7 linked regions of the Mus musculus genome follow. The protein of the gene in region 5 interacts with the protein of the main gene of each other region in a biochemical or structural test. Links are inferred from orthologs where the notes say so. Each region holds a gene or a part of one and is shown on either strand. Other genes may lie near its edges.

Region 1 (3,500 bases), on a different chromosome or scaffold from region 5:
CTACAATAGCTGTCTCAGCAAATATGTCAAAGCACTAGGTTTCCTCTGATTTCATTCTTCAGATGTTTTTCTCTGACCTTCCCCATCTCAGTTCATAACACCCAGTTACAGAACCAACTGGGCTATCTCCTGAGAAATGCTCTGCCTTCACAGCATGTCCTGATACTGTCTCTTAGTCCATGCTACCCTGGTCTATCTTGTAGACCAGTTGTTCCTGATCCCAAATCCATCTGTGCAGCATCACCAGTTACCTTTGGAATAGCTCTCTGCTTAAGTTCCTCCTACAATATTCTGGCAAACTTAGGGTGATGTGGACACTCCTCACAAAGCTGTATATACCATGACTACTGTCCCTGCCGTCTGCCACCATCTTTATTTCTTGACTGTGTTAAGCTCTTGTGCTGGTGAAGGCTAGTCTTGCTGTTCTCTTTCACATGTTCCTGTTGCTTACTTTATCGTTTCAGTTTTAGGGTTTTATTTATTTTTAAATGTTACTTTCTGGATGAGGTGTTGAGGATTAACATATTTTTGACCACATTTGCTCTCTACACACTTTTGTGTGTTGATTGTATGAGTTTCCAGTGGATGGCAGTAAAGTATCTTGGAAAAGTACAGCTGTAATGTCACAGAAGCACAGTATGAGCTTGCACTGACCCTGTTAGCAGAGAATGCTTCCATCCGTGTCCCTATGGCCTCCCATTTCCTGCATTTGTCACCTCGTATTTTCATCTTTAAAACCTCCATTCAGAATAACAGTAGTTTTGCTTATTTGTGTTTTTATTACATCTTTATGCTGCCCATCCTTGTTTTCTCTGCCTCACTTATATACCTGTTTAGACGTTATTCATCATTCAAGTCTGATACATATCCATTGGTATAACTCCAACCCAGGTGCTTCATGTGTGCTAGGCCCCACACCCACACCTCATCTTTTTATAGGGGTGGGGAAGAGATGTATGCATGCTTGCTAGAGTGGAAGACAAGCCCTCCACCTAGGCCACACCCCCATTTTTAATTCAGTGTATTCTAAGCATTCTGCCAAGGTTGTACCCCCATCTTAACCTTCTTCCCTACTGTTTGCTGGTTTTTGAAGTGGTAGCTTATTTAGATCTTGCTTATGAGTGTCAGGGAAGCTTTGTCTTTGCTGTCACATGTCCAGTTCCTACTGAGCTTTATATTTGCCCTCCTTTCCTGCTGGAAGGTAATTTCTCATAGCTGTATTTTTGTGGTACATTGATTTTAAAAAATGAATGTATATTAAACTCTTTTGGGGAGATACTTTAAAATTTTTTCATGTGTGTGTGTTTGTGTGTGTGTGTGTGTGTGTGTGTCTGTGTGTGTATGTACATGAGAGAGAGACACACACACAGATATAAAGACATGGAGACACAATTATTTTAGGAGTCAGTCCTTTCCTGTGGGTTTCAGGAATTAAATTTGGGTGGACTTGTGCAGCAAACACTTAGCCATGAGCCATCTTGCCTACCTGATTTTTGAGGAAAAACTATAGTGTATGTGTGGGTGCACACGCTACAATGTGTGGATAGAGGTTAAGAGTGCACCCTTGGGCACTGGAGAGATGCTCAGCAGTTGTTTCTTTTTTCTTTTTTTGGTTTTTCAAGACAGGGTTTCTCTGTGTAGCCCTGGTTATCCTGGAACTCACTTTGTAGACCAGGCTGGCCTCGAACTCAGAAATCTGCCTGCCTCTGCCTCCCGAGTGCTGGGATTAAAGGCGTGCGCCACCACGCCCGGCTAGATGCTTAGCAGTTTTGAGTACTGGGTGCTCTTCCAGTGGGCCTAGGCTCAATGCCCAACACCTACAGCAGCTCACAGCTGCCTGTGGCTCCAGTTCTAGGGCAGCTGACACCTTCACACAGACAAATGCAACCAAAACCCAGTGCCATAAAAGCAAATAAACTATTTTCTTAAAAAAAGAGGGCAACTTTACGAATTAGTTCTCCCCCCCCTCCCCCACCCCCCATGGATTCTGTGAATTGAACTTAGGCTGTCAGGCTTGGCAGTAAGTACCTTTACCACTGAGCCATCCCAACAATACTGTTGGAGTTTTTTTGTTGTTGTTTTGTTTTTTAACAATCAGACTCCTAAGCAAATTGCCAAGAGATTTTTATTTTAAGTTTATATCTAGGATGTATATACTGTAGGTAGGTAGTAATTTTTAGATACATAGTACACTATCCAAAGTTCAAATTGTATTGAAGTTAATTTAATTGATGCACATGATATGTCTCCCTTACCAGGATATGAAAAATAAAGGTGCCACAGGCATTACTTTCCATAGTTTAAATTTGTGGAGTTTAATATTAGCAAATTTTTTTAGAGACAGTGGTGCATTTTGGCCCTGGAGAAAGTTCGGAAGATGTCGTCATGATGAGCACGCCTGTGGTTAAAGCAGCCTTGGAAATGGGCTTCAGTAGGAGCCTGGTGAGACAGACGGTTCAGCGGCAGATCCTGGCCACTGGTGAGAACTACAGGACCGTCAATGATATTGTCTCAGTACTTTTGAATGCTGAAGATGAGAGAAGAGAAGAGGAGAAGGAAAGACAGACTGAAGAGATGGCATCAGGTATCCACGTTGGTGGCCACAGGTTTTCAATTACGTGTTGCATGCAGCATCATTAACACCCTCTGCCCCTGGGCATTTCTAAACTATCTCTTTTTGCCAAGCTCAGGCTAACCTCAAATTCAGTCTGTAGCTAGTGCTGTACTAGAACTCCCCTGAGGTTCCTGCCCCCACCTCCAAAGTGCTGGGGTTATACATATATGCCACCATACACAGATTTACAATAAACTATTTTTGAGGTATATTTCATTTCTTTATACATAGCTAAAACTGAAAAAAAGCATGACTTAAGGGACTGGAGGTCATCTCAGTGGTTAAGAGCTTTGGCTGCTCTTGTAAAGGACCTGAGTTTGGTTCCTATTGCCTAAGTAGAGTCCAGTGTCTCACAACCACCTATTACTCTAGTTCCTGAGGATCTGACCCCCTCTGAAGACCCCACCAAGGGGGGAAAATATTAAAAAAGAGATAGGACTAGTTCACTACAGCCTTATTATATGACCGTATCACAAAACGTTTAAAATTCTAACTTCTGGATTGAAACAGACTTATGTTTCAATTCTGCCCTCTGAAGTGAGGTAATTTCTTATGAATAAGCTGGATTCATTTTTAAAAACTATAAATTTAGATTTAAAAAAGGATAAAGCAGGCTATGTGCTATGTGTGAGGTATTGTACAACATGGTTTATGTGCATTTTGTTTAACTCTTTGAGGAAGATGCTATTATTCATACTTCAGATCAGGAAACTGAGGTGTACATAGCAGGGGGACACATGGCTATTAAGTGGCTAGACTTGCCTGGGAGCCAGGCAGAGTCCATCGTGACATGAAGCTTACACTCTTGAGTGCTGTAGTTCTGTAGAATGCATGGAGTCTGAGAAGGAATATTGCTCTAGGCTGAAGATGTAGCTTGATTGATGGG
Region 2 (4,161 bases), on a different chromosome or scaffold from region 5:
GGACTTGAGGCTGACTGTTTCTTAGGTTCCCATTTAAGGCCAGCACCAGCTACAAGGAGCTGAATGGGATGCAGGTGGAACAGGGACCTCCTTTCGCTGTCTATCACTTTTGTTTACTTTGACCTTTGAAATATGAACTTGCAGGATCTGTCTTTTAAAGTTTTAAGTTTAGAACCAACCTAACCAGTTCTGAAATTCCACCTACTTTTCTCACTGCATGTGGCAGGAGGAGTGACAAGCCAAAGATGGCTGTCATAAGCCACAAGTGAGCCTCAGTGCCACACCTGAAGAGAAGGAGCCTCAAAGGCTTGTCACCTGTCTCTCAGCAGGGCCACCTCCTCTTACCTCTGGTCTCCTTCCAACCTCTCAACTCCCTTTAAGTCAGAGAAGCTGTAGTCAGTCCCACACAGCAAGCCTTTCTCCTACCTGGAAACCCCACAGGACTTCACATGTGTTCTATTGTCACCTATTGTAAGTAGCCTCATTTACATATGAGTCATTTGAGGGTAGGGGGGAAGTGCTGTTGGTAGCTGAGTCTTCCTCAGAAAGGTTTTCATCTGCCTGTGCTAATATCAAACCTCCTGAGAGACTACTGCATGTGTTCTACAAAGACAAGTTCTAGAGAGTCTGACAAAACAATAACTAGTAAGACTTCCGACTGGCAATGACAAAGGACAGGTTCTTGTTAATCTTGCTTGGCATTGGCAGACAATGTTTTGTTCTTAGGCGGGGAAGGGGTTCCCCCCCTTAATGTCTAAGGCCTATGAGTGAGGCTCAAGAAGCATCCATTTTGACAAAGGCCCACCACACTGACACTCAGTGTTACCTGCCAGGAACAGGGGAGGTTTTTAAAGAGTGTGAGGCATAGCTGCGCAAAGTAAGTACTAAACGATAAACAAAACTCACAGCACACACAAGATAGATCTGGGCAGACACCATGAGTGCCAAAACTCCAGAGGACATGCAAGAAAACCGAATAAAGCTCAACTGAGAAATAAGGATTCAAAGGAGGGGAAGGAATGATCAATCTATATGAGGTAAGACTGTGCAAAGAAAAAGAACATTCTTTAAAATGACAATTCTCAGAAACGCCAAAGGGAAGGCCTTAGATTAATGTTTTATGAAATGTTATTAACCTTGGAATTTGAACGTGGGTTTTGCAAGAAGAAACTTACGAAAAAAAAACATTAAACAATACTATTGGCTGTTCTAGTAATAGAATAATGGTTCCAGCTTAAAACAAGGTATCAACGACTACATACACTATAGTCTTCACCCTTGTCAAAAGCACTCCCAACATAATAATTCTAAGTTGTTTACCCTAAAGACGAACAGTTCATCTTTTCTTAGGAGTAGAGAAAGGGGAACTTTGCCCTTCACTGCCTTCTATGAAACTATGCACCAAAGGACCAGGAGGCGTCATCTGCAGCCCACGAAGTTCACAAATCCCGCTGCTTCCTGATGAAGCACAGTGGGAATAATTACAACAAATGAGTTGCATTATAGTTCTACAAACTTATAACATTAACCCCTCAGTCATTTACAGCCTTCTCTAGGCGCCGTGTGGGGAGATACGATCCCCACCAAGCCACAGGAAATCCAAGTGACAATTTTTTAAATCCGGGAGCAACTTTTCCTATTTCTGAGGGTTCATAGAAGAGGCACTCAAGTGCAAGGTGAGAGCAAAATTTTCTCAGATCTGCCCAGCCTAAAATGATGTAACAAACGAAGCCAGTACTTGTGGCATGTGGACATTGCTTATCTCGCACCGGCAGACAAACTAGAACCCTTGTTTCAAAATGGATCGCTAAACGGAGGAATCGCGTTCAAAGGAGGGGCTGCCACACCGACCCGAAAGTGTTTTGCTGCTTTCTGTCAAAAAGGGAACAGTCACAAACCATCGCGGGGGGTGGTTGGGGGTGAGATAAAAGGACGTAGCTGGTCTGTTTGCTTCGTTAAATAGCGCCCATCGGGACTAACGCATTGACAAATAGCACCATTTCGAAGTTGTCTGGCGAAGAGTAAAATGTCCCCCTAACTTCGGCCTTCTCTTCGTCGGCGAGCCGCCCCCAACAACGCCGAGCTAAACCGGACGTGTCGCGGCTTCTCACAGCCTCGGGTCGCCGCACCCCGCCGCCCTGGAGCCCGCGGGTCCGACCGCCCTTGCCTCGACTGTTCTCCCCGGCATCCCGACACCTTCTCTCCGCGGCCCGCCACGCTCGCAGCGCCGCTGGGCCTCGAGCCCCACGCGAGGGCCGCGGTCCCCGGGCCGAGGAGGCCGGGGTCAGGGCCCGGCCACGCCCCCCTGCGGATAATGGGTGACATGGCGGCTCCCGCCCGGCCGCCCGCCCCCGCGCCCGGCCCGCAGCCTCGCTCACCCACACGAACAGGCTGTCCGACAGCAGGTACTGGGCCACGTCGCGGGCCCGGGGGCCGCCGGCGGTCAGGCGCGCCTCGGGCTGCAGTGGGGCCGTTAGCGGCTCCGGCTCACCCGAGCCGTCCTCCGGCTGACTGAGGGCGCGGTAGGCGCTGACGATGGTGCCCAGCAAGGCCAGGCCGCTGAGGCCCGTGTAGGTGCGGAGGCTGGGCCACGGGAAGCGCTCGAGGAAGAGCAGCGGCATGGCGGCAGCGACGGGCTCCGGCCCCCGAGGCTTCCCGCGCTGCGGCCAGGCGCCTGCGGCGGCCTTGCGAAAGGCGCCCACGGGCTCTGGCGTCGCTGCCGCTGCCGCTGCCGCCGCCGCTGCGCCGGGCCGAGCCGGGCCGCTCCTAGCTGCTCGCGCCGCTCCGCCCCGCGCCGCTCCCGCTGCTGCCCCTGCCGGCGCGGAAGAGCCTCGGCGGACTCGGGGCGGGCCGCCGCCCCTAGCGGGACGCGGGCGGGACGGGCGCGGGGGCGCGGCCTTCGTCCCCCGCCCACAGCCGGCGCTCTGCAACCCCGAGAGCACAGGACCCGGCCTGGGGCCCCGCGTCCCGGCCCCCTGCAGCATCCTTGGCGACCCTGGGCCCACTGAAGCCACGAGCGCACCCGAGCCGGGCTCTGGGGTGAGCCTGGCCCGTAGGCAATGACGGCAGGCCTGTGTGCGTGGTCAGGCGGCAGGGTGAGGGTGCGGGACCCCTGCCCCTGGCCACTTGTCGCTTGTTCCTCCCCGCCAAAGCTGGTAAACCCGCCATCCCACCACCCTGTAGACTAGAGGCTTCCTTGGTGTCCTAAAGAAGCGACATGATGCTTAGGAAATAAGAGAAGCCTTGAGATAGAATATTTTTAAAACGGAGGAACCAATTTAACCAGAAATAAAAATCTGTTCCCTCTTAGCTACAAGTAAGAATGTCAAATGCTGCTTAGTTTCTTGGAAAATACCTGTTCCTAAAAGGTAAACCAAAGGGTGACCTTCGTCCTGGCAGTTACACTGCTTGTTAAGTAAACATCCAAGAGAAATGAAAACAGACACCCACACAAAGTCCCTACATTGAGGCTGACAGTAGCACTACTCCTAAAAACCAGAGAGGCAAACCTCGAATTATAGCGTTTGAAAATAAAGTACAGATAATGCTACAATATCAGAGAATGTTGACGATGTCTGAATCAAGCCACACACAGATATCTAAATTCTGTGTGACCACGCTGATAAGACAAATGCATGCAATGTAGAGTAGAAGGGGAGTTTGAAAGAACTGGAGGTGACAGCTAAAGAAGTGACAGGTTGGGGTACTAGTTTCCTGAAGTGAGAATTTCTAAAGTTGCTGTTATACAACTATGAATACACTCAAAGTCACTGAATTGTACACTATAAACAGCAGGTTATATCTATGTGAATTACATAAGATAACATAGGGTACAGTTTTTAATTATTATATCCCCGAGCCATGTGTTAGTGCCTATCCCAGAATGTAGCTCTGTAAACAGCTTTGAATTTTCCAAATTTTCTAATGTGGAGAAATTGTCTTTGTAGTATTTTTTCATGCCAAATATTTCTATAGATCTTTTAAATCTGAAAATTAACCACTGTTATAATTCTTAAAAACATCTCATCATGAGTCTTTGTACAATATAGTTCCCTTTGGTTCGTTCCCAGTCATTTGCAACATGGCTTGTGAGATGAACCATTTGCTACAAACTGGAGTTTGATTCTCATAACTCCCCCAAGTTGTCCTCGGACTTCCATA
Region 3 (4,074 bases), on a different chromosome or scaffold from region 5:
AAAGTGCTAGTGTTTTCATATATAGTTCCCCTACCCTTCAGGCCAGGATTACAAACATTCTAGGCAGAATGTTCTGAGCCATATTCTCAGACCATTCAATTTTCAACTGAGGAAACCAATTTTTAAAAAGCCGACTCCGTTTTCTTAATGGTAAAGGATAGCTATAGGAAGAAAAAGGACATCACAACAATTTCTTTCCAAGTTCAAGAGGTCCTTTTTTTTTTAAAGATTTATTTATTTATTTAATGTATGTGCTTACACTATAGCTATACAGATGGTTGTGAGCCTTCATGTGGTTGTTGGGAATTGAATTTTTAGGATCTCTGCTTGCTCTGGTCGGCCCCACTTGCTTCGGACCAAAGATTTAGTATTATACATAAGTACACAGTAGCTGACCTCAGACACACCAGTAGAGGGCGTAAGTAGACAAGTAGGGCTACATATACCAGAATCATTATCAGTGTTAAAGTAAGGAATGGGAATGTGGTTCAGTTGTACCAGTGTTTATCTAGCATGCATGGCACTGGATAAACAGAGTATGGCAGAGGCAGGAACAGTTGGATGGGGGCAGAAAGAATGTAAGAGTTGTGAGACGAGGAGCGCTGTGCATTTGGTCTTCTGGCCTTGTGCTTACACACCTACCGTACCTGTGGTTATCTGTGTAAGATCTACACACTATTGCATCAGGGATAGAGGAGGGACTCAAAACTCCAGGCCTACCCTGAACTTTGGATACTGCTACTAGAGGAGGAGGGAGTAAATTTAGTGTTGTGCTAATAACACGCCCATGCTCTTGTAAATAACCTGGACCCATGCTTATGCAAACAATCCTAATTAAATTTAATGGAACACACACACACACACACACACGCACACACACACACAGAAACGAGGGGGTGATGGGACTCGGAATGGGAAAGGACTTGGGAAGAAAACGGTAGGTAGAGGATGGAGGTGAGCTAGGGTGATGGGAGAGGAAACGACTAAGTTATGTACATTCTAAAAAGGATAGCCAGAATTCCCAAGTTTCTGTAAATGTTTCATGAGCACTCACTGGCTTTTATGAAAACCTCTGAAGAATACATGAAAAGCCAAGACAACATCTAGACAGAAGAATTTTTCTAAGTGTCGTCACGGAAAAGTGAAAGTGGGATGTCATCAGAGCAAATGATTAACTACGCAATACAAGGATTGCGTCTCATATAACTGGAATCGATGTGGCAGGCAGTAATCTCTCTGGGCATACTTAGTATGACACATCTAGTCAAGTATGATAAATTATAATGAAAGGAAAACTTGAGAAGTGACCAGACTTCTAGACAACTGGAGAAACGGACAAGTTCATTAGTTGTAGCAGAATAGCTGCTAAGTACCAGAGATTTAGGCTAAATCCTGTCATAAAATATGAGGGTGTAACTTCTTGCCTTCCCTGATGGATCTTTGATGCCCACCTCCCAGCCCCAGTAGTTAATGGCTATAACCTCAATCAAGAGAGGGCCTTCATTTAATAAGTTTCAAAGCTGAATCTTAAGTGCATTGAGAGCATCACCTGCTGAAGTGGGTGGCCAGTTAGTCTATTTAGAGTTGCAAGCAACCTCAAACATTATGAATTAGATCGACCAATTGGTCAGAACAGCAAGCAGCTGCCTTGGTGAAAAGGTGGATTTAATTTAGTTTCCAAAAACTCACTGGCTGGAATTTAAACGGCAGAGGGCAGTGCTGTAGACTTTCTCAAAGAGTTTTAGTGGCTGGAGACCCCAGGAATGGGCAACTGGTCCCAGTACAAGCCCAAACGTGTCTGGGAACTTAGCGATCGTCAAGTGTGCTACGTGTTCAATGTTGCATGCTTGTGGCTGTTTTCCATAACCTCTACTCTAGTGTGACCGACCGTTAAGGCTCCCTTGTGGATATTCTGACCTTACGGTTTGGGGGTAGGGATGGGATTGGGGGAGGGTGGTGGGGGAGTTGGAAAGAGAAACGAAACCCAGGCTTTAAAAGAAGGAATGCCTATCCTTGCATTGTGAAAGTGCAAGGGACCAGTCTCCAGAATGACAATCGGGTACTTCCCAGTGGCGTCGCTGTCAACCCCTTTACTACATTGTCCGGGGAGGAGGGGGAGAAATAGAAACTAATACTATGGGTTAACAATAGCGCCTCTTCACCTCAAAAAACAAAACAAAACAACAACCAAAAAAAAAAAACCCAAACAGGCTGGCGGCCAAAGTAGACCTCCCTCCTTTAACTAAGTTTCAAAGTCTACGACCCTGACCTCTCGCCCGCTCTTCTCCCCAGTGCCACCTCCAAACTCAGAGCCCTTTTCCCGGCCTCCGGGCCGTGGAACTCTCGGCGGACGCCAGGATCCCCGCTCTCGGGGCCTCGAGGCCAGCATGGGCAGGCCCAGGACGAAGGCCGGCAGTTCCCGGCCCCACGTTGCTCCTACCTGTCCAGCATCTGTTGAAGGGCTTGGTCCGGCATCTTCCGCGGAGCCGGCGAGCTCGGCCCTCGCCCGCAGCCCCGCTCAGGGCCAGGCCCCGGGACAATAGCACTGAGAGGCGGCGGAGTAGGCCTCAGTCCCGCGGCGGCCGCGGACCCGCCACACAGCCTCCCGGCGTGGCTCCCAGAGGCCCGCGGTGGCGCTGCGCGGCCGGCGGGCGACCGCAGAGGGCGGCGGGGAGTGAGGAGGAGGAGCCTGGGGCCGGGAGGCGGCGGTCGCGGCCCGGGTTCCTGCCGGTCCGCCCAGGGTTCCGGTCCATGGACCGCCGGGGCGCCGAGCTGCTGCCGGCGGAGGAGCTACCTCTGTGAGGTAAGAGTCGCCGCCTCCGTGCGCGCCGGGGTCACGACGCAGGGGCGGCTCGGAGCAGCCTGGGAGATGTAGTCCTCGGACCGTCCCCGCTAGAGGCTGCACAGCCCGCCGGGACCCCCGCCGCCGTGCCCGCCGCCGCCGGGCCGGCGCCCTCCCGTTTCCTTCCTCCAGGGGGAAAAAAAAATGTCCTTCGGGCCGCTGTCCGGGAAGCGGCAGCATGTGGCGCTCCGCTGTCAGTAGCAACAAGGTCAGCGCCCCTTCTCCGCGTCTTGTCCCCTCAGCTCTCGCGCTCAGGTGGGACAGAGCCAGGTGAGGGGTGGCGGCGTGGAGGGCCAGTTTCTGGGCCGGGTCAAGTACGCCGGGCCGCGGCGGCGCGAGGCCGGGCGCTCGGGTCAGCCTCGGCCGCGTCAGAGCCCATCTTCGGGGAGGGACAAGTGGCTTAGTGCGGGGCTGCTCTGGAGGGGCGTGTGGGTAACCCGACTGTTCGCACCGGCGCCTCTGTGTGTGTGTTGGGGACATAGGAGAGCATGGGGGGTGGGACGCGAGCAACCACTTTGCCTGTCCAGGAACCTTCTCGGTTCTGGTGCTGTCGCCCAGCCTTCGAGGGCTTGCGGGCAGCCTCCAAAGGGGACACGCTGCTGAATAAACAGCCCTTGCTTGCTCAGCTGTGGGTTGTCAGGAGTGTTTGTTTCTTTCCGCAGCTGGTCACCGTTAACCATTCCTAAGGCTCCTTGACACTTCTAAGCAGGTGGATCCCGGCCGAGGGATCAAAAAGGGAAGAAGTGACAAATCACGCCTCTGTCTTCTCTGACGCCGGAAGGGATAGCTTTGGAGGGGGGAAACGAGCTGTTGTTGACTTAAACCGATGCGTAATTTGGACGACCTGTGGCATTGTTTAGCGCTGTGATTGGTGGGATGTTTTGCTAGTTTTCCGTTGGTTGTGCCTACGGTTTTTTGGTTTTTTGTTTTTTTTTTTTAAACTTCTACAAAACGTTTGCTATTTCTTTAAATGAAAATGTTTCTTTAAATTTGAGCCTGGAGTGGTTTCTCAGGCCTATAATTCCAGACTTGGAAGACTGAGACAGAAGGATTACCTGGTCTGTATAATGAATTCCAGAGTAGCCTAGGCTAAATAAATAAATAAATAAATAATCAATCAATCAATTAATCAAGGATATGGTAGGCGTCCAATCCCGTAACCCCAGCACAGGAGAGGAGGAGGCAGAAGGATTAGGAGTTCAAGGTCAACCTCTAACTCTAATTAGTTTGAC
Region 4 (4,300 bases), about 29 Mb from region 5:
CTCCTGGGTACCCTCCACTTGCCGAGAGGTTTACAAGTGGATTCCTCTCTGCAGCTAAACAAACACCTTCATGACATACTTGCAGCCCACTGGTATACCCTATCTAACACAACTTGACAAGCCTGAGGTGCCTGGGCAGTCCACTTCCAGAGCCTGGTAATGATGCCCATTTGTTTGCTTACAGACTAATTCTGGAGACACGACAAACCAATTACATGTAATAATTTGATATTAATATTATACAAAGGCATTCTGTCTGTCTTCAAAGGGACCCCTGAACAGAGAGAGAGAGAGAGAGAGAGAGAGAGAGAGAGACCTCCCATACCAAACAGATACCGTAAAAATATGGAGGCATTTATTTTTCTATTGGTAAGAGAAAAATGAAAAAGGTAGGTGAGGCTTATTTTTGTGTCATATATGATGTGTGTAACTAAACAGAACCATTAGTAGCAAAGCAAGACACAGATAAATTGTGTCTTCCTCACTCCTTGATCTTCCCTGTACAGTCAGTCCCTCTGGTAACAGGCAGGAGGGAAGCGTCACAGGCAAGCCCCCACACACTCCACACACTCGGTTTGGTGTCTGTGCTCTTCGTTTTTTCACACCCCACACCAGTCAAGATCAACAGTGATTCTCCAAGGCGAAAGTGGCAAGATGTGCCCTGAGGTGGATTCTGACACCGGCTTCCATCATAAACAAAGCCGGGACGGACCATGACAGAAAAGATTCCTTTATGCAGATGCATTTTCCAAAACAGTCTCAAAATATTTCTTTCAAGGAGCCTTTAAAAATAATCACGTTATTTTTAAAAAATTAAAGAGACCCTAAGATGAAACACAGCTGTCTTCATCTCCCTTGATACCTCACCCAGGAAGCCCTTTGTTTAAGAACGTCAGAATCTCAGCACCTCCAAGAGATCTGACTGCCCCTCCAGCACCAGATAAGGAGCTAGGAGGCGAATCCCCTAGGTAAACAAAACAATTCTACTTTCACCCATCTCCAGGTAACTGCACACACACACACACACACACACACACACACAAAATTTATTCTACACAACCATGGCAAATAATCAAAAACACATCACACATTACTCGCATTGTGATCATTCTTTGATCACAAGCAGCCCAGTAAGCCTATCTAGCTCTATCAAAAGATAAAATCAACCCCTACACGCCCTGCCTTCCACAAAATACCAATTTCATTCCACACTTAGGTAGAATACACACACACACACACACACACCATACCACTAGGGAAGCTGCGAAAGCAAAGCCATAACGTGAGCCTGTCTCAGATAATAGACTCTCTTTAAACCCCACCCCCATCACCAGAGAAAGAGGGAACCTCAGAAAGAAAGGAGGGAGGGTAAGAAAGAGAAATCGAGAAAGCCCAAATTTCCAGACATCCACTTTTCATGAAATGCGCAACCAGGATAGGAAATACCTCCCTGCTGAGTAATGCTTCATGGGTTGTAAATTCACCTCTCGAAAGGGGAGCCAGACCTGGGCGCGCACCCCGCCAGATGGCGAACCACTCCTACCTGCTCCATGCAGCCTGCCTGTCACTCCGCGCCCGCGACAGGCCTCCCACCCCCCTTTTTGGCAGAGCAACACACCAATAAGAGTCGAGAATGGCTGGTCGAGTGAGGGCTGAACAGTGATTTAGCAGGATCGTTTCAAAAGGGGGAGTGGGGACCGCGATGAGCGAGTGAGGCTTTTAAAAACAAAGCCCTCTCCAGTCAAACCAACCGTTTGGGGGGTGTGGCTTATTTCATTCGTTTATTAATAAAGGAGATCAATGGAGCTTTCTTCTCTCCACCCACCCCAGAGATGCCGGGCTTTGAATTCTCTGGACTGGAGAGAAATGGCAGGGCTGCAAGCTTCCCCTAAGTTTCCTGCAGCACCTGCCTCCTCCCTAGATCACCTCCACACACCAAAATAGGAGACTCTGGAACGCACAATCCTAGCTCCAGACTTTGCAAGACCCAGGAGCGGCCGCACGCAACTCTCCGGGTGTCCCTCGCTCTCGCCGGGATCTGCACACATCCGCTACCGAGCGCCCATTAGCAAGAAAAGTCCCAGGGGGAGGAGACACCACTAGGTTCCTCGGCAGCCCCCAGATCCCCTGCACTACGCAAAGACCCCTGCGGCTACCTAGACGTGACACACGTCACGGACTCCGGGCTGCAGGATCGTGGTCCAGAAAAGTTGCCCAACAGCCTCGAGAGACGCAGCTTGCGGAGGAAAGAGACTCGCGGGGCAGCGGCGCACGCGGCCTCTGCCCACCCCGAGAGCCCAGGCCGGAGAAGCGCACCTCCGGGGTGAAGAGGGAGAACCAGCCACCCACCGCCCGGGACCGCTCGGGGTCACCCGGAATCTTGGAGCCCCGGCTGGCAGGGGACGCTCACAGTGGAGTGGGCCCCGTCCCCTCCGCACAGCGCTCTGGGCAGGAACTCACCTCCTCTTCCGAAAGTCCGTAGACAGGCTCCCCAAGCCCGGTCGCCATGGAGCCGGCGCCCCGCGCAGGGTCCTGGACGCTGCGACTGGCTGAAGTGCGTCGCGGAGCCGCGACCCTCTGTCCTTCTGCGCCGCCCGGCGGGGAAGGGCCGGCAGGTGAGGCTGCACCCGGCCGCGGCGCCGCTTCCTCCCGGAAGGCTGCGGGGACGCGCGGACTGGCGGCTCCCGAGAGCGCGCCGAACGGCGACTGGCCCGGAGCTCTCCCTGCTCTGCGCTGAGCCCGCCGGGCTCCCGCCCCCGCCGATGGCTCTCCCGGCCTCCCCAAGCCCGCTCGGCGATCCCCGGGACCCGCGCGCCCGCCCCTCGCCTGCTCCGCCCGGCCGGCTCTCCCCGCCCCGCCTGCGCCGCCCGGCGCCCACGGGGACCCTCCCGCTCGCCGGGGCGGGCACTTGCGCCCCCCAAGCCAATCACAGGCCGGGCTGGGGGGCGGGCCGCGGGGGTGGTGGTGTTTCGCCCCACGCCCACCCCACCCCCGCGCCTCCTGGGTCACCCGGCACAGAGCACTGAGCTGGGGCGCGCCCTGGCGGGCTGGGCCTGCCGGGCTGACCCTCCTCTTGCCCGGCTTCTCTCTGCCTTGGGACCCGGTGAACTGGACCTTGGGGGACCATGAAGACCCCGTGAAACAACAACAAAGCCACTATGTCCGTTTTTATCTCTCTCTTTTTTTTCTCTTCCTATCCAGAGTCTCCAGGAGCTCTAAAAGAGAGCGACGATGCTTGTTTCTAGACCCCCTTTAAATTCTTGGCAGCTATGGCAGGCCAGACTTGGCTAACAGCTTCAGCTCGCCCAAGAGATTTTCCTGGCTGGGCGGCCAGCCTAGGAGAGGCTGCCCCGGTGTGGCCGTGAGTCGCCATTGCTGGAGTCAACTCTACTGGGAACAAAACCAACTCCGCGCCCGCGCTGAGTACACACCCACCCACTTGAAACCCGGCTGCCTAGTTCTTTGATAAAAGCTCATTTTTTGTGAGGCACAACGTGAAATACCAAATTCCAGTTTAAGTTTGTCCTTTACATATGCAAACGATGGAGATGTCTTATTAGCCACCGTAGGAATCTTCCCACGTTCCAGATAGGGAGTTTCTCTAGCAAGCCCTTCATTTAATCCTTCGATGTTCAGGAACGCAGGAGGCTACTTTAAATAAGAGAAATTTGCCACTCCTAGAAGTCTTTTCCTTGGAGCTGGGCGTGGTGGCCCGTGCCTTTAATTCCAGCACGGGGGAGGCAGAGACAAGATCTTTGTGAGTTCGAGGAACAGCTAGGTCTGCATGGTAAATTCAGGACAACCATAGCTGTAAAGAAAGACACTGTCTCAAAAAAAAAAAAAAACAAAAAGGAAGGCCGTTTGTTCCTTAAATTTAAATGTTGAGTGCGGTGGTAAATTAGAAATGAAAACAGGAAGAACATTTTGTTTGCCTTTAAATAGAAAGCACCAGAGTGTCTAGTACTGTCTGGGTGGTTAAAAATCAACTGATTCAGCTTGTCTGTCCCAGCTTAATGACCAAGTACCTGCTGTGCACCTGCAAATCAAAAAGAAGGATGTTGCACCAGCCCCCAACTCTCTTTCCTCCATTGCAATGTGTCCCAAAGTAGTGACTTTCCTTCGAAGTCAGCCACAATGGAATCAACACTCTGCTCGGAAGCCTAAGATGGAATTCAAAAGCCATTAAGACCACACAGTGCTTAGGAGCTGGGGAAGGAGGGAGACAGAGACCGAGGCGGGAGGGAGGGAGGAACTGGAGGAGAGAGAGAGGATTGCTCCTAAGTATGGCGGAGAAGGTTTA
Region 5 (3,500 bases):
ACTTCACAAGAGCTGGAATCAAAGGTGCTGGCTACCACATTCAGCTAGTCTTTTATGTTTTTAACTCAAAATCTAGTTATGTATGGTGGGAAAGGTATAGTGGCATGTGCCCTTTTCCTGGGGTAAGAGGTGTTCAAGACAGGGTTTCTCCACATAGCCTCAGCTGTCTTTGAACTCAAAAGTCTGCCTTCTCCTCCCTCCTAAGTGCTGGGATTAAAGTCCTGTGCCATCACCAGCATGTGCCTTTAATCCCAGCATTGAGAGGCAGAGGCAGAAGGATCTTTCAGTTCCAGGCCAGCCTGAGCTACACAAGAAATGCTGTCTCAAAACAGCAGGGTTAGAGAGATGGCTAAATGGTTAAGAGCTGTGACTGTTCTTCCAGAGGTCCTAAGTTCAAATCCCAGCAACCACATGGTGGCTCACAACCATTTATAATAGGATCCAATGGCCTCTTCTGATGTGAAACAGCTACAGCGTACTCATAAATAAATAAATAAATCTTTAAGGGGGGCAGCCCCCCATATTCTATATAGTCCCGTCTTAATCTCATCAAGTAAGACACAAAAGCAAAAATGACTAGACCTCGAAGTCACTTGATATCATGATCATTCTTGAGTAAGTCATACAGTATACAGTTCTAAATGCCTAATTCTACATCAAAACTTGTTTTTAAAAGATTTGGCACCTTTATGCCAAATGGTAGTAAGGTCAATTATCTTTCTCATTAATTTACCAAACTATATGTAAGATAAATAAATGAGAACCTGATGTACAATAATTCACAAGTCTAAAACCAAACAAGACACAAAGGTATTAATAAGTACTGTAAGGAGAAGCTGGGCGTGGTGGCACATGCCTTTGATTCCAGCACTCGGGAGGCAGAGGCAGGTGGATTTCTGAGTTCGAGGCCAGCCTGGTCTACAAAGTGAGTTCCAGGACAGCCAGGGCTACACAGAGAAACCCTGTCTCGAAAAGTACTGCAAGAAAGGTTTTTAGTAGAAGTTACATTAGACAACTATATATATGAGATTAGTATCATCTGTTTATAATATATGATATAGAAACCTGTTTCATGTACCCCTCAGAGAGTTTATCTTAAACTTTTAGTCTATATTTAACTCTATAAGTAACAAGTTGTAAGGCAGCTCTATCCCATGCCTGAATGTTTTTTTATCTGGAGGTGATACTTACTTTTCTCTATCTGTTTTGTAGATCCGAGCAATCTCAGGCACTAAAGGATCATCTGGATTGGGATCACACAACAGAGAACAGATGGACAAAAGTACTGGGATAGTAAAAAAAAAAAAGAAAAAGAAAAAAGTATAGGTTAGTAGAAGACCACAGCAAAAGGCTTAAACATCAGAAGCTGGGCATGGTCTTTAATGGAAGCACTCAGGAGGCAGAGGCAGGGGAAAAGGTGGATATCTGCGAATTCAAGGCCAGCCACAGTGGTACAGTAAGACCCTGTTTCCAAGAGGAAAACAAACAAATCACCACCAAAAACCCAACCTGATATGCCAACCTGAGATAAGAATATAGAATTATGAATGCAGGTAGCTTAGTGGTGGAAAGCTTGCATAATGTGCATGAGGTTCTGCTCTGAAGAACAAAACAGCTCTTCTAAATCCTAGATTGAGAATACACATCAGCACTAGCGAACCTCAATTTTTAGAGGCTCATATTCAGAGAAAATCAGCTGTCAAATTTCCAACAGACAAGAGTAGTTGTCTGACACAATCAGTCATACAGAAACTTCAAGGATAATCTGGGGCCAGGCGTGGTGGCGCACACCTTTAGTCCCAGCACTCGGGAGGCAGAGGCAGGCGGATTTCTGAGTTCGAGGCCAGCCTGGTCTACAAAGTGAGTTCCAGGACAGCCAGGGCTACACAGAAAAACCCTGTCTTAAAAAAAAAAAGAAAAAAAGAAGATAGTCTGGGATATAGGAGATTGTCTCAAAAATAAAATAAGTTTTAACCAGGTACAGTAGCTCACACTTGTAATCCCAGCACTGTAGATGCTAAGGCCATCCTGAACTACAGAGTAAGACCCTGTCTTAAAACAAACAGATAAAAATCAAACAATCACATCATTCATTTTCTTTTAAACAAAACAAAACAAAAGCAAAAACAAAAAAGCCCCAGATAATCTTAAAAAGTTAAGCCAACAGAGAACAGTAACAAAGAGCAGTTACTTTCCCCTTTGAGACAGGGTCTCACTATACAGTGCTGGCACTCAGAGATCTGCTTGCCTTTGCCTCCACAGTGCTGGTATTAAAGGTGTGCTCCTCCATACCCTGCACAAAATCAGTTATTTCACCTTGTTATCAAACAACCATTCCATTACCTTTTGAAATAGTTAGTGCTGGAGACCACTGTGACCGTAGAATATCAAGACAAATGCTGCCATTACTGTTAATATTTGGGTGATAAATTCTTGTTGTAAATGCAACCTGAAGAAAAAGAAATCTTTGTGATTTGTTTACCAGTACCATACAGAGCATCTTAAGAGCAATGATCATATACCATTTACCTTAGGCGGTTTGAAGGGGTAATCTGTTGGGAAATGAATTGTCAAGAAAAATACTCCACCCTGATAGGGGCTGTCATTCTGTTGATGATAAAAAAGTGATATTAAAAATGGATAAATTACTTGAAACAATTATTAAGGAATTAAAGTGAATACTTACTGGCCCCATTATTGTAGCCTGCCAATGAAACACTGAAAAAGAAGAAAAAAGGGTCACCATGTTAATTAACAATATTCACATTACACCTACGATAGAGAAACCTATCATTTCCTATATCTAATCAAAGTTTATTTATAAATAGCATGATAACGACTAGTTTCAATGGGCAGGATGAAGACTAAACCAATTGAGTCCAAACCATTAAAAGAAAAAGGAAGGAAGGAAGGAAAAAAACCAGATAGACAGAGACAGAGTGAGACAGACAGACAGACAAGTGAGCAGGGTGTGGCAGTGACTGCCTTTAATCCCAGCACTTGGGAGGCAGAGGTAGGTAGATTTCTGAGGCCAGCCTGGTCTACAGAATGAGTTCCAGGACAGCCAGGGCTACACAGAGAAACCCTGTCTCAAAAAAACAAAAAACAAAACAAACAAACAACAACAACAACAACAAAACAAAACCAAAAAACCAACAACAAAATGTAAGCAAGACACCGTGACATTTACATTTAATCTTAGTACTTGGGAGGCAGAGGTAGAAGGATCTCTTTGACTACAGAGTGAGTGAATGCCAGACCAGTCCAAGCTGCCTCCAAATAAGTAATGAAAATAAATTATGATCTCTTGTGGGTTTTTAGAGTTTCCAGTATATCCTTCAATACAGAGCTGGGGGGACATGAAGCATTTGCCTGGCATATGTTACTCTGGGCTGGATCCTCAACCTTACTTTAAAATACAAACACACAAAACACAAATTTGTTCATAAGCTATAGCGATAATTTCAAAGTACTCAATAAAGTAACTACCTATAAAAGCA
Region 6 (4,131 bases), on a different chromosome or scaffold from region 5:
TCTGGTTGCCTTTTTTGTGGTTTTTTTTTTTTTTTTTCTGCCTCTAGACATGGTTTGTAGACCAAGCTGGCCTTGAACTCAAAGAGATACACCTGCCTCTGCTTTCAGAGTCCTGGCTTGTGTCACCACGTCCAGCGAGACTGAGACTTTAAAACTTCAATTTCTTTCCTTACATTTCCCTTTTCTGTTTTAAATCCTCCCCTTAAACCTTTTGCTTTCAGGCCTCAAGTGTGCCAGACTAGCGCCCTACCACTGTGTGACATCCACAGTCCCATCCTACGTATTTTAATCCTGGATTTGAAAACTTGGTTCCTTTCACTTCTCCAAACCCCACTACATGCACACACCCTAGAATGGGGACAGATTTGTGTTTTTGGTCTCTGTTGTATGCTCCCAGCATATGGCACTGAACTGGGTACCAAGGAGCTCAGCACTTATATGAATAGATGAAGAATATAGGCAATAAACAGAATCGACCGCTCCAGGAGCGCCACTTACACCAGAGTTCTGGGAGGCAACCCGGGAAGTTCAGTAAATTGATTTTGTTATTTAGAATTTCTCGGTGCTCGAACCGGCTGCGGTTGTATTATGTCCTTTGAGACGTGTTTACTTGTGCAGTTTGCGAACCTGACGCACACTTCTGTGCAGGCTGGAAGAGTTCTGTGCAGCCAGCAACAGTTTGCAGGTAAGTCCACATGCTTTCACATCATCAGCAACTCATGCTACTCTGACTGCCCGCGTTCTCTTGAGAAATGTGCACATGGCAATTCAGGTATTTCTTCACTGGCGATTTTCCAGTAAGGAGGATGAGCTCAGCTGTACTGGTGGTAAAGGACGTGCAAAGACCGGGAAACGAATTAACGCTCACTTTTCCAAAAGTATCAACTCCCCACTCTAGATCAAATCCCGCGCTCTTGCAATGCTCAACCTGATTCTACCACCATACCGCCCCCGTCAGATACCTATCTATGGCGGGCGGGGCAGAAAAAGACACGTCCTAGCTTCCTCCGAATCAGTTAAGTTTCGTAGAATTTTGGTTTCCTACATTTCAGCTAACATTAGTGAAAACCGCCGACCACATGACACAGTAGCCACACACGCGGGCAGAAGAGGAAGCAAAACAAGAAGAAAGCCGGCGCTCCAGTAGCCACGTGAGGAACGAGTTCCCGAGCGCCTTCTCTAGTGATGACTTCAATTCCCGGCCTGCCCCGGGGCGGTTACTATCGGAGGACTACAACTCCCAGGGTGCAGTGGACCAGTCCGCCGCAACCTCCCACTCGCCCGCCTGCCGCTTGTCCCGCCCCTCCCCCGCCCCGCCCAGCCGGATCGGCATGCGCCTGCGCAGCGGAGGCCGGAGGAGTCTTACCCTAATGTAAGATGGTGGCCCGTCTAGCCGTGGAACCCACCGAAAGCTGAGAGTCTCTCTCTCAGCCGTAAAGGTCGGACTCACTGAAGCAGTCAGGCCCGGTTCTGAAGAGTTTTTTCGCCGACTCTCGTTCATTGGTCTCCTGTGAGGACTCGGCAACGCGTGGAGTCGGCTAAGAGAAAAGCGAGGCAAGGCAGGCGGGTGAGTGTCTGCGGGGCTGGGCTTAGGGGAAACCCGGCGCTGACCGGCTACGAGAGAGCGGAGGCTTCGCTGGGACTGTGCAGGCCGCACCCCCCTTTCTCCCCACCCCCCCACCCCCGCCCGCCTCGTCTTCACCCTCCTCCTCCTCCTCTGGCTGCCTCCTCCTCCTCTTCTTCCTCCCTCTCCCCTCTACGCCACAGCAGTTATCACCAGGAAAAGGCAGCCGGGTTGGAGGCAGCGCGGCAGCGAGCGCCGGCTCTCCTTGGAGAATTTCTTCAATTGAGAACCCAAGAGGGCTTCTCATCACCAGTTTTCCCCGCATTTTTCTGGCAACAGTATCCTTAGGTCTTGGTCCTCCTGTTTCCCCAGCCTCCTTTCCCCTCTGACGTCCTTTCCTACTGGCCCCGGTCTCCCAAGCCAGAGCCATCATTTCCACTCTGACGGGTGCTGCTGCTCACTGCCCACCCGTCCTGCTTGGTGGGCTTTTTTGCCCCTTTTTGCCCCATCCCTTCCAGAAAGGCTGCTCTGGATCTAGCCTCTGCTCCCCTCTGGTGCTTGCAGTCAGCCCCCAGTCTGTCTGCCAGACCCGAGTTGATTCCGATGTGCAAGTCTCCTTTAACCGCATCTGTCATCTTAAAGCCACCTCGTGAGTATCTAAATCATGTTGCTGCTCCGTTGCTCCGTATAACCCACCTGTTTCTTAACCTACTTGAGAATTGTCGGTTCCTTCCCTCTTTCCAATGCAGACTCTTTGAGCACACACTCCAGGATAGGGGAGATGATGCCCCGTGTTGTTCCTTGAAAAGTAAAGGAAGTTAGGAAGTGAATGAAGTGAGTGGGAGACTATTAACGTTAAGAGAAAAGAGCTTTCTTCGGGCTACTCGGGAAAGGAATGTTTTGCTTTTTTGATCTTTTTGTTGCTCATTTGCTATCCTTTTTTACCCCTCTTTTCATTTTCGACCTTCTCCGTGCTACTCAGCATTCTCCTGAATTGCCATTCCTCAGGACACTTGATGTTGTCTCTGATTATACCCATAAAGATCAGCTTAGAATTTCAAAACCAGGTGAATCTAGCGCGCACACACACACTTCATCCCCGAACACCACATGCAAATAAATACAGATGGTATTTTGATTGTATGTGGGTTACAGATTCCTTTTGTATCAATTATTGGCTCCGTTATATTGATGTTTATGTTAATTGATAACATTTATTTGTGATGGGTGCAAATTTGACTTTTCCCCCCTCTCTTTTGATCTGGGAAATTCCCTCTTTTGACATTTCTAGGATAGGAGTTATCAGAATAAGTTGTATGGAAAAACACATTGGGTATGTATGAAGAGAAGTTGATATTTTGGGGTAAACTTAAATTCCTTTTTTTCCCATAGAAACTATGGGGGCTGAGAAAAGAAGTCACAAAGCTGAGCATACGCATGCTTCAATGGCACTTAGCTGTTATTACCTGTAGTAAGTAAGAGCTAGAAACTGAAGAGCAAGGGGTGGCTTATGGTCTCTACAGTAGAGTGAAAGCAGAATTGAAATGCACTAGTTTGTGTAATCAGGAGTTAGAGTATTTGCTATAATACACCACAGTGACATAAAGAATTACCAGAACAGCAAATAAGATTATATAGGTCAGATAAACACATGTCAAGTTTGAACATAAGACATTGTGTTCTTAATATATATATAAAAATATTTAAAGTCACAATAACAGTCTCATAATGAAGTATGTCGCTTATTGGGGGGAAATAGTAACAACTTAAGTGTAAATACAAACGCAGTTCTTCTAGTTACTTTCACACATTACTGTTATTGTAAATCTTACATATTTCACCTATAAAGCTTGACTATTCTTATATTTGATGTTATATTAAGTTGCTGTGAAAAGTTTTTAAAAATGTAAACTAAGGTTAGAAAAGCTGCTCATAAAGCTTCCTCTCCTTCCTCCTCTTCCTCCTCCTCCTCCCCCTCGGCTGTCTGTCTGTCTGTCTTTCTTTCGTTCGTTCTTTCTTTTGTTCTTTCTCTCTTTCCTTTTTTTTTTTAAGACAGGGTCTTTATGTAGCTCTGACTGACCAGCAATGTAGATCAGGCTAGCCTTGAACTTGAAGACAGTCACCTGACTCTTCATCTTGTCACTCATGGTCAAAGCTCTTTATTTCAGCCACTTAAGCCCCAATTTGGCAAAATGGAATAAATCCCTATTCTTCTAAAAAATTGGAAGCATTTTATATAAGCATCCATTGTTTTTAGTTATACCTTGAAGTTAAAAAGAAAATAATACTTTTCGTTTAGTTTACCAATAACTTGTCTTTAACTCCAAGTAAAAAGTAGATACTGGTGGAAAAGCTTGCCACTTTGAACAATCTTGTCTAGATACTCTTGGCAGTCATACTTGGCTGAATTGTAAGCAGTATGTTCTAAGGAGAATGTCTGATAGAAGGGGATGAGTGATTTTTTTTTAATGCATCTTTTCTTTTGTAAAGCTATTTGGCTCACTAAATATCGTAAATAATTTCTCTTCTTCCTCTGGGGTCATCAAATTCTTGCTTCTAGCATAGAG
Region 7 (4,235 bases), on a different chromosome or scaffold from region 5:
AGGTCTATAAATGCCTTATGAACTCATGCGGAGAACAGCTGGCACGTCTACGGTTCTGGAGCTACAATTACTTTGACATATACAGGAGGCAATAATCAGACTTCTCAACATTTCTAAGCTAGTTCAATATTGTTTTGGGACATGGTAGCACATAGGTTCTTTTTATTTCCCTGCCTAGTAAAGTAACTAGATCTTTCCCTAGTAATAACAGTGCTTCACAAAAGCTGCGAACATCCTAAGTATGCTTATTAAATCCTATTAGACCCTTCCTAGGGTGTCACAGGAATGGCTAAACACTAAATTAGAATCCTCAAACTCACACAGCTAAATAATCCTTGATCTGAACATGTAGTTTACAGTGAACCACTCCACCTCATCTATTTCTAAAAAGAAGGTATGGGTATTTGAACAGAGCCCTCAGTTAGATGATGATCGACATATGAACAGTAGAGACCGTAACACAGTTAGAATGCAAACATTAGCAAAGACGAGCCTGACAATTTGTGCGTGGGGGTATTTTATTTTTGGTGGGGGTGCTATCTGGTCTTTCATTCCTTGGCACTTGAAACTTGCACATTATAAAGGGACCATTGTCAGTTCAAATTTAACAAGGTTATTTTAAAAAGACTGGGAACAAAAGCTTGTAACTGCAGACTCTGGTAGAATCATTTTTAGTAAAAAGTTAAAAGTATCTGGCTTGAGTACAGCAAAGTCTTACACATGAAATGTCAGTCCTTTTAACTTGGAATTTGGTAAACAGCGAGAGGCACATCCAATGGCCGAGCAACCTTTCACCATGTTTTTAGCAACTCCTAACACAACTGGAAGAGAATTAAAACGAGTTAGTAACTCCAGGGCTAAGCTAAAGGCATCTCCTCCCGGACAATTGCCTCCCTTCTCCCAGATCCCAACACCTGAAGTTTTGCTGATAAAATGCTCTAAGTCTTGGTATTTTGTAAGAGTGGACATAAAGTTATGCACCTTGAGGTCTGAGATTCAAACTCTGCAGGCTTCTTTATTTCTCTCATGTTCTTACGGGCCAGATTTTTCTCTCCCACAGGTCTGGTACACACTAACTCCTGCTGGCGTACTGTTTGCCATTCAACTTTCAGCTCGAGCGTCTCCTTCCCCAGGGACACCACACAGGACTGTCCTTCCAGTGTGGAAGTTGTGACCTCATCTAATGCCGTGGCGTTCTCCCCCTCCCCATTTGTGAGTTCCACGGGGGCGTGGCGTGGCTACTTGTTTTTCACTTTGCGTTCTTAAGTCCTGGGTGGGTGACAGCACAATATTTTCTAAAGGGGGCGCAGGGAAAAAAGGAGACCGGGACAGCCGCCGGCACTCGGACCTGCGCGCGCAGCCGCCGAGCCCCGCCCCCTTTCGGAGCAGCCGCGGGAGGGGCCGCTCCTCACCGGCGCCGGCGGCTCGCAGCAGCGCCCGCCAGACGACGCAGCGGTCCCCTTCGCCCGCAATCAGGGCTGGCAGCGATGCCGGGGCGGGGAAAAAGAGCCAACCTAAGACTTACTACCATTAGCAGTGACGACAGCGACTAACGTGGACGACGGACTAAGCGTCTCACTTGGCTTCCACCCCTTACACCAGGGACCGGAAATCCGGATGCTGCAGATCACGTGATTGGACCCCCCCTTCCTGACTCTGGTGGCCGCTGCTCCGAGGAGGAGCGGGTGTCCGACCGACTCTGCTTCCTTAAGGCGTGGCTTCCAAGCTGGGGGAAAGGTTCAGTGGCTGGTGAGGGGGAGGTGGTGGAGGAGGAGGAGGAGGAGATGGCGGCGACGGCGCGGGAAGATGGCGTCCGCAACCTGGCGCAGGGGCCGCGGGGCTGCGAGCACTATGACAGAGCTTGTCTCCTCAAGGTGACGACTTTAGAGGGTACCTCCTCGATGAGCTGCGGTCGGGTCTGGCAAGGGCAGGTTGGGCAGAAGCTTCAGACCGAGCTGCTTGTCAGGATACCTGCCATCTGGAGTTGGGCTCTCCTTGCAGGAAACGTTTTGGCAAGGCGAGCAGGAGCTCTGTACTCGATCGCCGCTGCAAGCCAAGTTCTTGTTTGTAAAGACTTGGCCCTTGCTTAAATTCACCTCCCTTGTGGGTTTATCCGTCATTTGCGGTTGACAGTAGAATGAGGAAGTGAAAGGGCCTTGGCATTTCTGTCAAGTGCGTATGATGCAGTGATGAAAGCATAAGCAAGGGAAGAATCAGAATATAATTTCTGTACGTGTAGGAAGTTTATAGTATGGCTTGTCAGCTTCATTTTTTTGTCTAGGAATATGCCCAGACCTGTCCAGGAGAAAATGTCTGTGTGAAGTGAGAGTTGGGTGATTGCCATTAAGTTGGATATTGGAGGAGTGCCTAATACATATATGCTGTCATTTTTCCTGCTTGAGACGTTCTAGTCATCTAGAGTTTTTAAAAATGACTCTCACACAGTTAAGACTTACCTGATTTTTTTTTTTAAGAAGCAGTTTTAATATTTTGTTGAGAAAGCCTGAGATTTGAGCTGGGGTTATAACTCAGCCTTAGAATTGAGTTTATAATGCTGAAGGCCTTGGCTTCAGTCTTCAGAAGTCGCCTCCCACTGAGAAGAAACTTTGACTCTTGGAATCCTATAGCTTTCCCTTCATAGTTTAGATTGTCCTTAACTTGCTGTGTAATTTGGAGCAAGCTACTTTTTAAAGAGCTTGCATATAAAATATACAAGTTTGGAAGCTGGTCTTAGTGGTAAAGGCCTGTAGCTCCAGGAGATGCATACTTCCAGCTATTTGTGAAGCAGAGGCAGAAGGAATACCAGCCAGGAGATGCTAATGCAAATAAGAAAAAAAAAAAAAGGAGGTGGGGCTGGGGGTATATATAGGTCATTGCTAGAGTACTGGCCTCACCAGAGAGTCTCTAGGTTCAGCCTTCTCTGCCAACAGGGAAAGTCCCTCTTTTATAAACCATGTGATGATTGCATGCTAGAGTGCACATGTGGTGTTTTAAGAGGTGTGTCCCCAGAAATGACTAGGAGTATATATTAACTAGCACCCACAGTGGTCATCAACTCCTCCTTCGCCACCTTCACAATCAGCTCTGCTGGTCACTGACCTTATAAGTTAGGACTAAGTGATAGGCTTAGATCTGTAAGGCAACTTAAACCCTTTTCTGTAGGCCATGCCTGGTGAGCATTCATTGCATTGGATGAATTTTTTCAGACTGGTCAATTATCTAATGTTGTATAAAGAATTAAATATTCTTTTGGTTACATTTCTACTGAAATATTTTTACAGTTTCAAAGTGGTATGAAACTGAATTTAATACCTGGCCTTCCCCTTCCACCCCTGCAAAGAAATTGCACAACCAAATTTGTGTTTCACAACACTTAAAATCTTTTTCTCTGAGTGTCCAAGCATTGTTTTTCTGTTCCCTCTTCCTCTTTCTTAATAGGAGAGGCCAGCTGAGGTGTTTCAAGGAGTAAGTCATCTACTAGATCAAGTGTAGCTGTGCAAGCAAGATAAGGAGTGACAGCTGGCTTTTGCTTTGGCCAGGGGAAGGTCGCTGTTGATCTTGACAAGAAAAGTGCCAATGGAAGTATTCAGGGTAAAGCTTCCTTGGAGTGCTTACTGAAAATAGCATAGAGGATTTTTGGATTTTTATTGCCAAGGAGAGCAAAAATGTGGCTGTTTTGCTGAAAGCTGTGTTACAGCATGTTTCTGTACACTGGGAAATGATCCAACAGGGCATTTTGTAATGCAGCAAGAAAGGGGAGAACCATTGAGTAGTCACAGTGGGAAGACCCAGCATACGGGTAAGGCTGCTCTTAGCTGGCAAGCAGAGCACGGGGGTTTGCTTCTCCTGTGCTGTAATAAGCACCACAACCAAAAGTTACTTGGGGACCAAAGGGTCTATTGTTTGGCTTTGCTGTGACAGTTTGTTATTAGGGGAAAGCAAGGCAGGAGCTCCTGCAGGGCAGGTACTGGAGGTAGGAACTGAAGCTGAGGCCGAGGAGGAATGCTGCTTACTGCTGGCTTGCACTCCGGGGCTTGCTCATCTTTGTTCTCCTTCCTTCCGTTTGCCCTTCCTCCCTCCCTCCCTCCCTCCCTCCCTCCCTTTCTTGCACTAAAATTAATATTTACTAAATCTTAGCTCATACTTATAAACATTTTTAATAACTTGTTCTTCAGATAGAAAACTTAGCAAGCACTTTGGTTTTCTTGAAGAAAAGTTCTTAGCCAGCTAGTTGT

What was found.
Region 1: the proteins of Ube2d2a (region 5) and Birc2 form a complex in vitro, tested with the Homo sapiens proteins (9 studies listed by BioGRID, with this or other methods). The link is inferred for Mus musculus from reciprocal best matches to the Homo sapiens genes UBE2D2 and BIRC2.
Region 2: the proteins of Ube2d2a (region 5) and Amfr form a complex in vitro, tested with the Homo sapiens proteins (3 studies listed by BioGRID). The link is inferred for Mus musculus from reciprocal best matches to the Homo sapiens genes UBE2D2 and AMFR.
Region 3: the proteins of Ube2d2a (region 5) and Marchf5 form a complex in vitro, tested with the Homo sapiens proteins (7 studies listed by BioGRID). The link is inferred for Mus musculus from reciprocal best matches to the Homo sapiens genes UBE2D2 and MARCHF5.
Region 4: the proteins of Ube2d2a (region 5) and Nedd4l form a complex in vitro, tested with the Homo sapiens proteins (11 studies listed by BioGRID, with this or other methods). The link is inferred for Mus musculus from reciprocal best matches to the Homo sapiens genes UBE2D2 and NEDD4L.
Region 6: the proteins of Ube2d2a (region 5) and Cnot4 form a complex in vitro, tested with the Homo sapiens proteins (5 studies listed by BioGRID, with this or other methods). The link is inferred for Mus musculus from reciprocal best matches to the Homo sapiens genes UBE2D2 and CNOT4.
Region 7: the proteins of Ube2d2a (region 5) and Rchy1 form a complex in vitro, tested with the Homo sapiens proteins (9 studies listed by BioGRID and IntAct, with this or other methods). The link is inferred for Mus musculus from reciprocal best matches to the Homo sapiens genes UBE2D2 and RCHY1.

Annotation. Positions count from the first base shown.
Region 1 is NC_000075.6:7,820,058-7,823,557, reverse strand, and holds part of Birc2 (baculoviral IAP repeat-containing protein 2), read left to right. Parts: intron 1-2,338; coding exon 2,339-2,584; intron 2,585-3,500. UniProt on the Homo sapiens protein: Multi-functional protein which regulates not only caspases and apoptosis, but also modulates inflammatory signaling and immunity, mitogenic kinase signaling, and cell proliferation, as well as cell invasion and metastasis.
Region 2 is NC_000074.6:94,009,841-94,014,001, forward strand, and holds the start of Amfr (E3 ubiquitin-protein ligase AMFR), read right to left. Parts: upstream 2,801-4,161; 5' UTR 2,622-2,800; coding exon 2,379-2,621; intron 2,289-2,378; exon of another isoform or gene 2,189-2,288; coding exon of another isoform or gene 2,168-2,188; intron 1-2,167. UniProt on the Homo sapiens protein: E3 ubiquitin-protein ligase that mediates the polyubiquitination of lysine and cysteine residues on target proteins, such as CD3D, CYP3A4, CFTR, INSIG1, SOAT2/ACAT2 and APOB for proteasomal degradation.
Region 3 is NC_000085.6:37,206,271-37,210,344, reverse strand, and holds the start of Marchf5 (E3 ubiquitin-protein ligase MARCHF5), read right to left. Parts: upstream 2,801-4,074; 5' UTR 2,476-2,800; coding exon 2,441-2,475; intron 1-2,440. UniProt on the Homo sapiens protein: Mitochondrial E3 ubiquitin-protein ligase that plays a crucial role in the control of mitochondrial morphology by acting as a positive regulator of mitochondrial fission and as an important regulator of immune response.
Region 4 is NC_000084.6:64,886,256-64,890,555, reverse strand, and holds the start of Nedd4l (E3 ubiquitin-protein ligase NEDD4-like), read right to left. Parts: upstream 2,801-4,300; 5' UTR 2,509-2,800; coding exon 2,461-2,508; exon of another isoform or gene 1,553-2,460; coding exon of another isoform or gene 1,544-1,552; exon of another isoform or gene 1,447-1,543; intron 1-1,446. UniProt on the Homo sapiens protein: E3 ubiquitin-protein ligase that mediates the polyubiquitination of lysine and cysteine residues on target proteins and is thereby implicated in the regulation of various signaling pathways including autophagy, innate immunity or DNA repair.
Region 5 is NC_000084.6:35,799,059-35,802,558, reverse strand, and holds part of Ube2d2a (ubiquitin-conjugating enzyme E2 D2), read right to left. Parts: intron 2,719-3,500; coding exon 2,687-2,718; intron 2,608-2,686; coding exon 2,530-2,607; intron 2,450-2,529; coding exon 2,344-2,449; intron 1,286-2,343; coding exon 1,192-1,285; intron 1-1,191.
Region 6 is NC_000072.6:35,130,938-35,135,068, reverse strand, and holds the start of Cnot4 (CCR4-NOT transcription complex subunit 4), read left to right. Parts: upstream 1-1,331; 5' UTR 1,332-1,567; intron 1,568-4,131. UniProt on the Homo sapiens protein: Has E3 ubiquitin ligase activity, promoting ubiquitination and degradation of target proteins. Involved in activation of the JAK/STAT pathway. Catalyzes ubiquitination of methylated RBM15.
Region 7 is NC_000071.6:91,960,269-91,964,503, reverse strand, and holds the start of Rchy1 (RING finger and CHY zinc finger domain-containing protein 1), read left to right. Parts: upstream 1-1,435; 5' UTR 1,436-1,784; coding exon 1,785-1,874; intron 1,875-1,947; exon of another isoform or gene 1,948-2,017; intron 2,018-3,438; exon of another isoform or gene 3,439-3,799; intron 3,800-4,235. UniProt on the Homo sapiens protein: E3 ubiquitin-protein ligase that mediates ubiquitination of target proteins, including p53/TP53, TP73, HDAC1 and CDKN1B. Mediates ubiquitination and degradation of p53/TP53; preferentially acts on tetrameric p53/TP53.